Linked DNA regions of Tribolium castaneum. The protein of the gene in region 1 purifies or fractionates together with the protein of each later gene. This does not show direct contact. Links are inferred from orthologs where the notes say so. Each region holds a gene or a part of one and is shown in the gene's direction. Other genes may lie near its edges.

Region 1 (6,020 bases):
ATCGGAGATTCAGGATACCCAGGCCTGCCCGGTTCACCCGGACTTGAAGGTCGCCCCGGCATACCCGGAATTCCTGGAGTGACTGGTCTTAAAGGTCCTCCGGGTGATTACGGATTTTCCGCTATCACCTTCAAAGGTGAGCGTGGCGAGCCTGGTTATCGGGGCGCTCCTGGATTGAACGGAACGAAAGGAGAACGTGGTGATTTTGGCGTAACGGGGCCACCTGGACCGCCAGGTGAAGAAGGTCTTCCAGGATTTCCCGGAGACGTCGGCCCTCCAGGCTACCCTGGTGCGTCAGGAGTCAAAGGACCGAAAGGAGATCGGGGAGACTGGTCCATTAACGCTCTTCCGGGACCTTTAGGAGACGCCGGTTTACCCGGTTTTGACGGACTCCCCGGATTTCAAGGTTTACCGGGCGAACCCGGATTCCCTGGTTTGATCGGGCGGAAAGGGATGCGTGGTGATGCCGGGATTGACGGATTACCAGGGTTTGAAGGACCTAAGGGCATGGCGGGATTACCGGGACTTGCAGGATTGCCAGGTTTACAAGGAGCCAGAGGGGCACCTGGGGTTAGGGGCGAGCCAGCACCGCCACCACCGGCCCCCAAAAGTCGAGGATTTTTCTTTACGAGACATTCGCAGTCAGAATTAATTCCAGTGTGTCCTAGAGATACGGTTAAATTGTGGGACGGCTATTCGTTGTTACATATTATGGGGAATGATAAGGCCATGGGGCAAGATTTGGGGACGCCAGCGAGTTGTTTGAGGAGATTTAATACTATGCCGTTCCTGTTTTGTAATTTGAACGATGTTTGCGACTACGCACAGAACAATGGGTACAGTTACTGGTTGTCTACGACAGAGCCAATGCCGGCAATGATGACACCCATCCCAGCACCAGAAGTCAGACGCTATATTTCAAGGTATGAACGAACATATTCTATTTTTGTACATTTTTAACCGTTTTGCTTTCAGATGCTCCGTTTGCGAATCTGTCACACGTGTCATCGCCGTCCACAGTCAATCGACAACCATCCCACAGTGTCCCAACGGCTGGGACGAACTCTGGGCCGGATACAGCTTCCTTATGGTAACTCTCTTCACCCCCTCGAACCCACATTTGTTTAACATATATTGCAGCACGTGGACGCCGGTGCCGAAGGCTCAGGCCAATCCCTCGTCTCCCCCGGCTCATGCCTCGAAGAGTTCCGCCCCAAACCCTTCATCGAATGCCACGGTCACGGCCGCTGCAACTACTACACCACCATCCTGTCCTACTGGCTGGCCACCATAGAGGATTCAGCCATGTTCCAAAAACCGCGTTCGGAGACTCTCAAAGCCGGCTATTTGACCTCAAGAGTCAGCAGATGCGCCGTTTGCATCCGCAGACGGTACACCAGTCGCACTGCAATTGTCACCCCTAGTCGAATCACAAGACCCACATACGGGACCCCGTATCGGCCCCCAGGCTATCCACCAGGAAGTTACAGGAACTTGGAAGAGAATAGGAGGAGGCGTTTGAGGCAGAGATTGAGACACAGGAGACCGCAAAATACGCCGTGATCGACGTGCCATAACAGTTATTAACTTTGTAATTATGTGTAAATTAATTGTAACATAGATTTGATGTTAACATTTGTCCTTGAGAAGGAACGTACGCCGTGTTCAAACACAAATCCTATTAGAATATTTTTTACTTGTAAGGATTTAGGTTCTTAATTTTATTTAAGCGATTACGACAGTGGCTCTTTGTATAGAATTTATTTTTTTAATACTTGAATTCTTGCTTGTTTTTGATCTTTTTTATCTCAAAGGTGCTAATTAGTTTTAAGGCTTACGACAGGAAAATGTGATTCATATTTTATGTGCCTTTCTATTAAACACTGCCAAATGATTTTGTAATGTAACAAATGAATAAATCATAAAAACGATGAGTTTTTGGGTTTTATTAGGTATCAAATAAGAAGACAATTTCTTTATGTACAACTTTTACTTATCACAAATCTAGTTATTTATAAATCATACATTCAAACATACTGAACGCTGTGTGATAGTGACCAGACAAAAAATTATAGAATGACACTACCAGACTCACAACAAATTTAAAAAAGAACAATCTGATAACAAAACAATCATTTTCGAAATTTATAGTAACTTTACTTCGGGAATCCGTTGCTCAGTTCAATTTTGCTGTCAGTGAACTGCATATGATTATCGATGATTTGGAAAAGCTCTGCAGGTTGTGGTATCCTGCCCGTCTCCAGTTTGGACCAAACAGGAACGTCATTCAGTGAGATTTCAAAAGCCCCCGATTGAATCAACTGTCCTTCGATAATATTACACACAAAGAACAGCATCATGCAAGCATAAAGCTTGTTTTCTGTGCACCAAATCCACCATGAAGGCTGTGGTTGGTTAATGTATTCAAATATGTTAATAGCCCCCAAAATACACACGATTATCACCATTTTAACGATGCCCTGAAAACGCATAATCATCAACTTTCACTCATTATATCATACTTACAATAAGTCTGGCCAAATACATGTTCAAGCCTGGGGGGTCGTAATTTTGGCCATCAACGGCTATAAAAGGGTATTTGTCCCCAACGATTTTTACGTACTGCTCGAACGTTTTCCGGTAACCACACGAATAACTAAATTAAATAATTAGATTATGATATTGGGGCTAGGGGAACATACCAATACAAAAATTTTAAGGTTGGGGCCCCAACATTTTGACTTAGCTTCGACGGGAGGACGTCTTCAGCTGCTACGTTACCGTTTGATTCGAGAAAACACAGCCCCGCAAACACCACTAAATACCAAAAACATGATATTTGTCTTAAACCAGCCATTTATTTTGCTTTCTAATGCTCTCGTCAGCTGATAAATTTCCAATGACAGGTGGGACTGGTGGAAACGTAGGGGAATTTAGACACCGACTAGATCAGCCTAAAACACTAATATAATAATTATTTCACGTCCAAAAAACACGAGATTGTGTTAGCTGCTACAAAATTTGGTAACAAACAACGTAATCGTTAAATAAGGCCATTATCGGCTGGCAATTTTTACGAAAATTGTGTTTTTGTAGCAATTGTGGAGTTTTTGTTTGCGCTACATTGGCAGGTATTTTTGGCAGTTTAAAATGGCGTCTCGTGGGGCTGCTTCGAGGCGTGTGCCTGAAAATGACTCGACGATTGCTTACGTGCAAGCCGACGGCTTGGTAAATATCCCTTCAGTTTATTTAAACCCAAAAGTCACACTTTGGCTACCTCAGTTAGTAATTAATACCTAACATACGGAACCTAACCTCTTTCAGGCCGTCATGAAGATCGTAAAACACTGCCATGAGGAATCGACCACTAACATGGACATAGCCCAGGGGGCCCTTCTCGGCCTTGTCGTTGAAAACCGGCTGGAAATCACGAATTGTTTCCCATTCCCGAAACAAACCGACGAGACAATGGACGAGGACGAGTACCAGCTAGCGATGATGCGGCGCCTGCGACGCGTCAACGTCGACCACTTCCATGTGGGGTGGTACCAAAGCGCCGACGTCGGGAACTTCCTCAGCCTCCCTCTTCTCGAATCGCAATTCCACTACCAAACCTCAATCGAGGAATCCGTCGTTGTGATTTACGACACTCAAAAATCCTCGCGCGGGTTCCTCACACTTAAAGCCTACCGTTTGACGCCTCAAGCCATTGAGATGTACAAGGAGGGCGAATTCACGCCCGAGGCCCTCTTGAAGCTCAAAGTCGGATACGAGAACCTCTTCATCGAGGTCCCCTTCGTTATTAAAAACTCCGCCTTGACCAACATCATGATGTCCGAATTGCAAGAACTTGTCCCGGAAGAAGAAGGCTCGAAATTTTTAGATTTGGGAACCGCCTCCGTCCTCGAGGGGCAATTGCGCTGCCTCATGGACCGAGTTGACGAACTCAACCAAGAAGCGATCAAGTTTAATAGATACCAACAGTTGGTCAGCCGGCAACAGCAAGACAAACACAGATATTTGCAAAAGAGGGCGCAGGAAAATGCGGCTAGGGCCGCGAAAGACGAGCCCCCATTGCCCGAAGAGGACATTAATAAGCTGTTTAGGCCACATCCGGTGCCCCCGAGGCTGAACCCGATGATTATCGCGGGACAGATTAATACGTATAGTCAGGCCATTTCCCAGTTGTGCTCGCAGAGTTTGGCTAAGTTGTATATTACGCAAGCGTTGCAGAACGCCAAGGAGGCGAATTCTAATCCTTGAACTGTTTTGTTACGTTGTTTTACAATAAAATAATATACAATGAGTTTGGGTTTTATTTAAACCAGGCGTAATAAAGCTTAATTGGCGCAGTCAGTAGGTTTTGTGGTGGCGTCTCTTCTGTGAAATTTCTACGTTTGAACGTTTAATCATCCCCTTAAAAAATGGTACTAAACCAACAGTGGAGAAAGTCATATTCGCAACCTTTTCATCGTTTATGTTGATTTTGTTGTTTTTTGATTGAAATAAAGGACACAGCTTTTAAAAAATAATGTATTCAATTGCCCTAAACATCAATTTAGTCATTACAGTCTTACGAACCTAAAGAAATGAATTTTATTTATTTACATTTCTATTGCACAAACTGGCCAAAATGTACACACTTTTTTGTGCAACTTTCTCAAACTCATACAAACCAATAACAAACAACACACGAAAAACAACAACAAAACAAGACTAGATAATCAATCACAATAAATCGTTTCGTATTACGCTATTAGCAGTTCAATCAATAAGAAAAATCGTGTCATGAGTATAAAAATGTTGATTAATTCATTTGAAAAAATTCCCCATTTTACATTGATAAAATAGCTTAACACTACGACTAGACTCTAGGTAACATTCACCACTGGCGTCGTCCCATTTATCGTATTTACAGAATTTTAAAATGGCACATGGACAAATCCACGGTTTTACATTTCTATACACACGTACCGAGAAAACCTTTTGGTACAAATACATATACAGTGTGGACCAACAATAAAAGTATTTAGTTTGCCTTTTATTTATCCACGTGATTCACTTGTCGAATCAAACGCCTACATATTCCCGACATTAATCGAAATCGTGTTGTGATTGACGGGTTTGAACGGCTCAACACTGTCAACAATCGCCTCAGCCAAATAACTCCTAATTTTAGTCGGAACGAACAATTTTTCCAAATCCTGCTTACTCCTAATCCTCTTGACGATCACCGCCCTGCACCTGTCCTGCAAATTGACGAAGTCCCTCTTCATCGAATCCAGATACATCTCAGTCTTGGCGGCCGTGGAGCAAATAATGGGGTAAAGGGGCTCCTTGACCTCGTTGAGCCCCCGGAAGGCCACCCCCAGGTACTTCTCGTCCTTGTAGTAGCTCAGCGTGCCGGCGATGCCGTCGAAGAGCACGCCGATCTTGGTGGCCATGTTCTCCCGGAAGGGCTTGGTGTAGTGCGTCCAGCGGCCGCCGTGCCACAGCAGCCCCTTGTGCGACAGCCCCCAGCCGTGGTCGTCTTCGCCGAGCAGGTTGGTGAAGGAGTCGGCGTGCAGGCGCGCCTTCTTGGTGCCGATGCCGAACATCATGCTGGTGCCGAAGATGCGCCGCGAGATGTGCAGCTCCCAGAAGTAGCGGCCGTTGTTCAGCACCCGGGTGCCCCGCACGCCGGCCGTGCCGCTGCTCCAGTTGGGGTGGAAGTGCGCGATGCGGAAGTTGTTGCCGTAGAGCCGGACCTCGGGGCTGCGCTCCCACCGGTTCCACGTCCACAGGTCGTCGCAGCCGTGCCGCAGGGGCTGGGGGACCGGTTCCGACTCCATGGAGTCGGAACGCTTCGATTGCTATGCGGAGGACTCCTCCCACGCGGGGGGCACGTCCTCCACGCTGGAAATCGCAAACGTCATATACCCAAGTGTCGAAGATAAATAATAGCAATATAATACGTATTTTTAATAAATTTTATACACGAAAGAGTCAGTTTATTTGAGATCTCCACCTTTTTTTCAACC
Region 2 (5,505 bases), on another chromosome or scaffold:
TTTAGCTAACGTCACGCAAAGACTCAAGTAGGTGGTGGAAGCATATCTTGTTGACAAAACGGTGCCAATTTAGCCATGTTTTTCGATCGTTAAGCCGACCAAATACAATGAAGATTAAATTTAACAGTACAAGCTTATAGGTAAGATTCTAATGATACTAATAGTCTCAGAGATTTCTCCGTACCACAATGTGGGTGTTTTTGACGTTTTGTAGAAGGATCTTTTTTGGCCGTCCGATTTAAAAAAAACTTACTAAAATTACAACCGGTGGCTGAGGCACACTATTTTTATATTAGTCGGAACTAATATTTGACTAAAATATTCTAAAAGTCGAAGTTTGAGAAACTTGATTTTTGATAAATTTATACAAGTCTGACAAAATCGGGCGCTTTGTCTTTTTTTGTTTGGCTTGTAATGGACATGCTAACGCTTTAATTTCTTGTTATCTGTTATGTGTGACATAAACTTTTTGTAAGTACTTTCTCTAAAACTCAACTTGTGTTGGTTCCAGTTTGGACAAACCAAAATAAAACATTGTTCGTAAGATACCTATTTGTATGTGCATATATAAATAAAATTGCTTTTTTATGGAAATAAAGAGACGCTTTCTTACCCGTCCTCTCCCAAAACAAGACATTTTTTTTTATTCTTTGTGTTTAATTTGTCTAATTAGCTAGCGAAAAGGACTGCAGTCATTATATATCAATTTTTGTTTGTTTTTTTTTTTAGTTGAATCTCTCCAAAACTACAATTTTTAGAACAAAATGGACACAAATTCGGAATCCTCAGGTAATTTTTCCTTAAAAATAAGCGATAACTTTTGATGAAATCTGGTGAAAAATTAGAGAATTAAATTGAAAAAAAGTGGAAGAAAATGTTTTCTTGAGCTAATTCGCCGACTTTTGAACTCAAAGTATTTGCGTTTTAGGTGAATTATTGCAATTATATAGTTTTTAATGTTGATTTATTTAAAAAGTTTGTGTTAAAATATCTGCAAAACACGGTCAGTACCTGGGGCCCGATGGCCCAGTGGTATAAGCGCCACTTACGACGCGGGAGGTCGGGGTTCGAACCCGGATCACGGCAACAATTTTTCTATGAAAAAAAGTGTAGAAAAGGTAAGGAAACAAAACGTGAGCAAAAATAAGAGACTGAGAGAACACATAGACGTATAAACGTAAAGCGGAGCATAAAACTGACAGAAATAAGAAAATAATGCGGCAAAAAGTAAAAGTACGTAAAGGCGTCAAATTGTAAACGTAAGAGCACATCATAATAAAGGAAAATACTTTTGTTTTGTGAGAAAAAGAGATGAACGTAAAGATGAAACATAACTTCAAACTTTAGCGTTGAATCCTTAGATGACTTACTTCTTAAATTATAAAAAAATAAACGAAAACATTTAATTTATGTCTAAAAATTTTTAGTTAACTGAGATTGTTTAGTAAAGTCCCGAAAAACATTGTTAATAAAAATCATGGCCACTGCGAATCCAGTAGGATTTGCGCACGTCCAATATTTTTGACTAGAAAATACATAAATTTGGTGATTTTTGGAAAAATTATGTCCATTTTCGGTCAAAAACGTGCTCAAAGTCACAAAAAAGATGAAAACAATTTTAAAATTGTAGAATCAACTTATACGCCCGGTATCTTTTGATGAAATCTGGTAAAAAATTAGAGAATTAAATTGAAAAAAAGTGGAAGAAAATGTTTTCTCGAGCTAATTCGCCGACTTTTGAACCGAAAGTATTTGCGTTTTAGGTAAATTATTGCAATTATATAGTTTGTAATGTTGATTTATTCAAAAAGTTTGTGTTAAAATATCTGCAAAACACGGTCAGGACCTAGGGCCTTGGTGGCCTAGTGGTATAAGCGCCACTTACGACGCAGGAGGTCGGGGTTCGAACTCGGATCAGAGTAAAAATTTTTCTATGAAAAAAAGTTTGGAAAAGGTAAGGAAACAACACGTAAGCAAAAATAAGAAAATGAGAGAACACATAGACGTTTAAACGTAAAGCGGAGCATAAAACTGACAGAAATAAGAAAATAATGCGGCAAAAGGTAAGTACGTAAAGGCGCCAAATTGTAAACGTAAGAGCACATTATAATAAAGGGAAAATACTTTTGTTTTGAGAGAAAAAGAGATAAACGTAAAGGTCAAACATAACTTCAAACTTTCGCGTTGAATCCTTAGATGACTTACTTCTTAAATTATAAAAAAATAAACGAAAAAACATTGAAAAACATTGTTAATAAAAATCATGGCCACTGCGAATCCAGCAGGATTTGCGCACGTCCAATATTTTTGACTAGAAAATACATAAATTTGGTGATTTTTAGAGAAATTATGTCCATTTTCGGTCAAAAACGTGCTGAAAGTCACAAAAAAGGTAAAAACAATTTTAAAATTGTAGAATCAACTTATACGCCCCGTATCTTTTGACGAAATCTGGTAAAAAATTAGAGAATTAAATTGAAAAAAAAGTGGAAGAAAATTTTTTCTCGAGCTAATTCGCCGACTTTTGAACTGAAAGTATTTGCGTTTTAGGTGAATTATTGCCATAAAATGTTTAACCAAGTGTTTTTATTCGGGTGTTTACACAATTTTAACCCGAAATTTTGGACTACAAGTCGTTTTGTGATTATTTTTTGCCGATTATTGGATATAATTTGAACTTGGCGCTGTCGTGGCCCCCACCCTGCGTCCGTTGACATGTCAAGAATCTGACATTTTCTACGTCTAGTACGTCAGTGACAGTGCTTTTACAATAAATTAAATTTGAAATTGTTAAAAAACTGTTTATTGTTATTGTAAATACTAGCAATGGCTTCAGGTAAGTTTCCCCAACATGTTCCCCCTTGTCCCGCCTTTGGGAACGCGCTGGGAGCGCGAATCCCGTGCAGACCGCGTGTAGTGGCGACCTTATTGTACGCTGAAATTTTCCGAATTCCAGGCAAAAAGGGCAAAAAGAACAAAGGCAAAACGCTGGCGTTGAGCGACTTCCTGCAGGAGACGCCCGGCCCTGTGGCCACCATGCCCATAAGGAAGTCGACGATGAATTGGGCCGACGAAGTGGAGGATAATCATGGTAGAGTGTACTTAACCTCTAAGCTGTGCATGTGGAAGCATTTTGGCGATCGATCTGTGCGCGATGGTTGCCGTTTGTTTGAAATTCTATTAATAATTCAATCTGAAGTGGGAATGGCTTGTTTTTCGGGTGTCAAAATTCGTTTTTAGCCTCAAGGTTTGATCCAGATAATTGACCTTTACGGTTTCAGATGTGTATGACCCACGCTCGGCCAAAGCAAGTGTTGTGTTGCCCACAGCGCCCAAGGCGTCGCGGGACTTTGACGATATTATTGATAAAGTTCCACAGGAGCCCCCATTTATCGCATATCTGACCAATCTGCCGTATGATGTCGACGAGAGCGAAATTGCGGCGTTTTTCAAGAACATGAAGGTAAAAATAATAAACAGAAAAGCCTCCCTGAACTAGGTCTTTAAAAATTTAAAAATACATAATTTAAACTAAACTATTGTTATAGACATGGTTGATACTTTTTTTCACCAATAGGTGGCAGTAGAGTTCCTATATTGTCCAATAAAGGGACTCTAAATGGCAAAATTTCGATTTTTGGAAATCTTGACTTGACAGATTTCCGATTATTGTGCGATTTTAATAATAATAATAATAATTTTTTTAATGTTTTTTTCAACTAAGTAAGATTTTGCTTTGAATTTAAAATAACCTTTGTTTCAGATTTCGCACATGCGAATCCCTAAAGACGAAAGACCCGGCGAAGCGCCCCGATTAAAAGGTTTCGGTTACGTAGAATTCGAAGATAGAGAAAGTTTATTAAATGCCTTGGTTATTCCCGATACTGTAAGTAAATCAAAAAAATAAATAAATAAAAATTCGAATAAAAAAAATATTGAAATAAAAATCAAAACACAAAAAATAGACAATCAAGAATAGACGGATACGAATCGACGTCGCCACAGATTACGACAATGACAAAAGAAGAGGTGGCCGTATGGACATGAACCGAGATCGTGGTGGAAGAAGTGACATGTCGTCATTTGGGGACTGGAGATCGGGTCCAAGACAGGAAAATTCAGACATGGAGCGGAGAGGATTCAGCAGAGATAGAGAGCGTGATGGTTGGTTTATATTTTGTTATTTGTTTTAATAGTACAGTAGGTATACTACATAATACAGAAAATGAGCCGCTGAATTCAATGGAACAAAGCGCATTGCTCTACGACTTTTAGTTTTCGAGTTATGAATTTTTTTAATGAATAAAATTTTTCACTATGACAAATGGCCACCCTAAATTTAGGCAAAAATTTTTAAATTTTTAATTCGTGTGAAAAATTGATATATTATGTAAAATGAGCCGTAGAATTCAACCGAACAAACCGCATTGCTCTACGAATTTTAGTTTTTTTTTTATGAATTTTTTTAGTGAAAAACTTTGATCGCCTCTGTAGCCGGAACCGTTGCCCGGAGCGGCTCCGGGTTTGGTCGAAACAATAGCTAAAATTAAGCGCTATCAGATATTTTTTTGTTCGTTGCTCTAAGTCTTACAGTTTCCGAGAAAAACGCAAAAAAAGGTTTCCATTTTCACTTTTTTTCAATTTTCAACCGCTAATTACGGCGAAACTATTAGAGTTATCGAGAAACGGAAAAATGGAGGACAACCGGAATAAAAAACTCTACAAAATGGCATAGGACTCAAGGCGATATCTCGCAAAAAAATTTTCAATTTTCAAACGCCGATTACGGCCAAACTAAAAGAGTTAGGAGAAAATGCTTTTTTAGATTGGAAAGAGCACATCAAAATCTATAAGATAGAATCGGTTTTATTTGATTTAGAGACACTTTAAAAATTGACCGATTTTAAGGGGGGGGTGTTAACTTTTTTTTAATTTTTTTTATTTTCTCATTTTTGGCTAAACTATTCGAAAAAGTGGAACTATTTTGATCCATTCCTATGCAAAATGATCCGGGGAATCGATTGGCATCGAGAAAATTGCCAAATTCCCAATAGTTTTTTAGTTATGAATTTTTTAAAATTTTCCCAATTTTTGCATTTGTCTCCAATTTGCTCGAAAACTATTAGTCGGAGAACAATAATTTTTTTTGAAAAAGATAGATAATTTAAAGAGCTTTCCAACGATAATACACTTCATGGGGTTATCTCTGATAGTTCCGGAGCTATTGCTTGACAAAAGTTCCGGGTACCCAAAATCGACAAAAACTGCGACGAAAATTGAAAAAATCAAACATCAAAAAATCGAACATATGGACTTTTTGTGGACTAAAAACAACTTTTGTGGGTTGTTAAGACATGTAGAAGTCCATAAAAATTTACTAGAGTGAGTTTAAAAATTTTTTTTTTCGCCTCTTTGAAGTTAAGTGTATTATTACTCAGGAAATTTTAGCAAAAAAATTGAAAATTTTAAATTTCGTGAAAAGTTGGTATAATACAGAAAATGAGC

What was found. Proteins that work in one complex are often made in the same cells at the same time.
Region 2: the proteins of eIF3h (region 1) and eukaryotic translation initiation factor 4B purify together in Homo sapiens (affinity purification with mass spectrometry; 3 studies listed by BioGRID and IntAct, with this or other methods). This does not show direct contact. The link is inferred for Tribolium castaneum from reciprocal best matches to the Homo sapiens genes EIF3H and EIF4B.

Annotation. Positions count from the first base shown.
Region 1 is NC_087398.1:6,459,743-6,465,762, reverse strand, and holds eIF3h (eukaryotic translation initiation factor 3 subunit H), read left to right. Parts: upstream 1-3,000; 5' UTR 3,001-3,150; coding exon 3,151-3,228; intron 3,229-3,324; coding exon 3,325-4,263; 3' UTR 4,264-4,306; downstream 4,307-6,020. Other genes in the region: vkg (collagen alpha-2(IV) chain), read left to right, coding at 1-923, 976-1,090, 1,141-1,563; SelT (thioredoxin reductase-like selenoprotein T homolog CG3887), read right to left, coding at 2,157-2,480, 2,527-2,656, 2,703-2,857; SP555 (SPRY domain-containing SOCS box protein 3), read right to left, coding at 5,079-5,831.
Region 2 is NC_087400.1:562,303-567,807, reverse strand, and holds the start of eukaryotic translation initiation factor 4B, read left to right. Parts: upstream 1-2,678; 5' UTR 2,679-2,826; coding exon 2,827-2,836; intron 2,837-2,956; coding exon 2,957-3,091; intron 3,092-3,281; coding exon 3,282-3,463; intron 3,464-3,763; coding exon 3,764-3,886; intron 3,887-3,965; coding exon 3,966-4,164; intron 4,165-5,505. Other genes in the region: Tusp (tubby-related protein 4), read left to right, coding at 1-31. UniProt on the Homo sapiens protein: Required for the binding of mRNA to ribosomes. Functions in close association with EIF4-F and EIF4-A. Binds near the 5'-terminal cap of mRNA in presence of EIF-4F and ATP.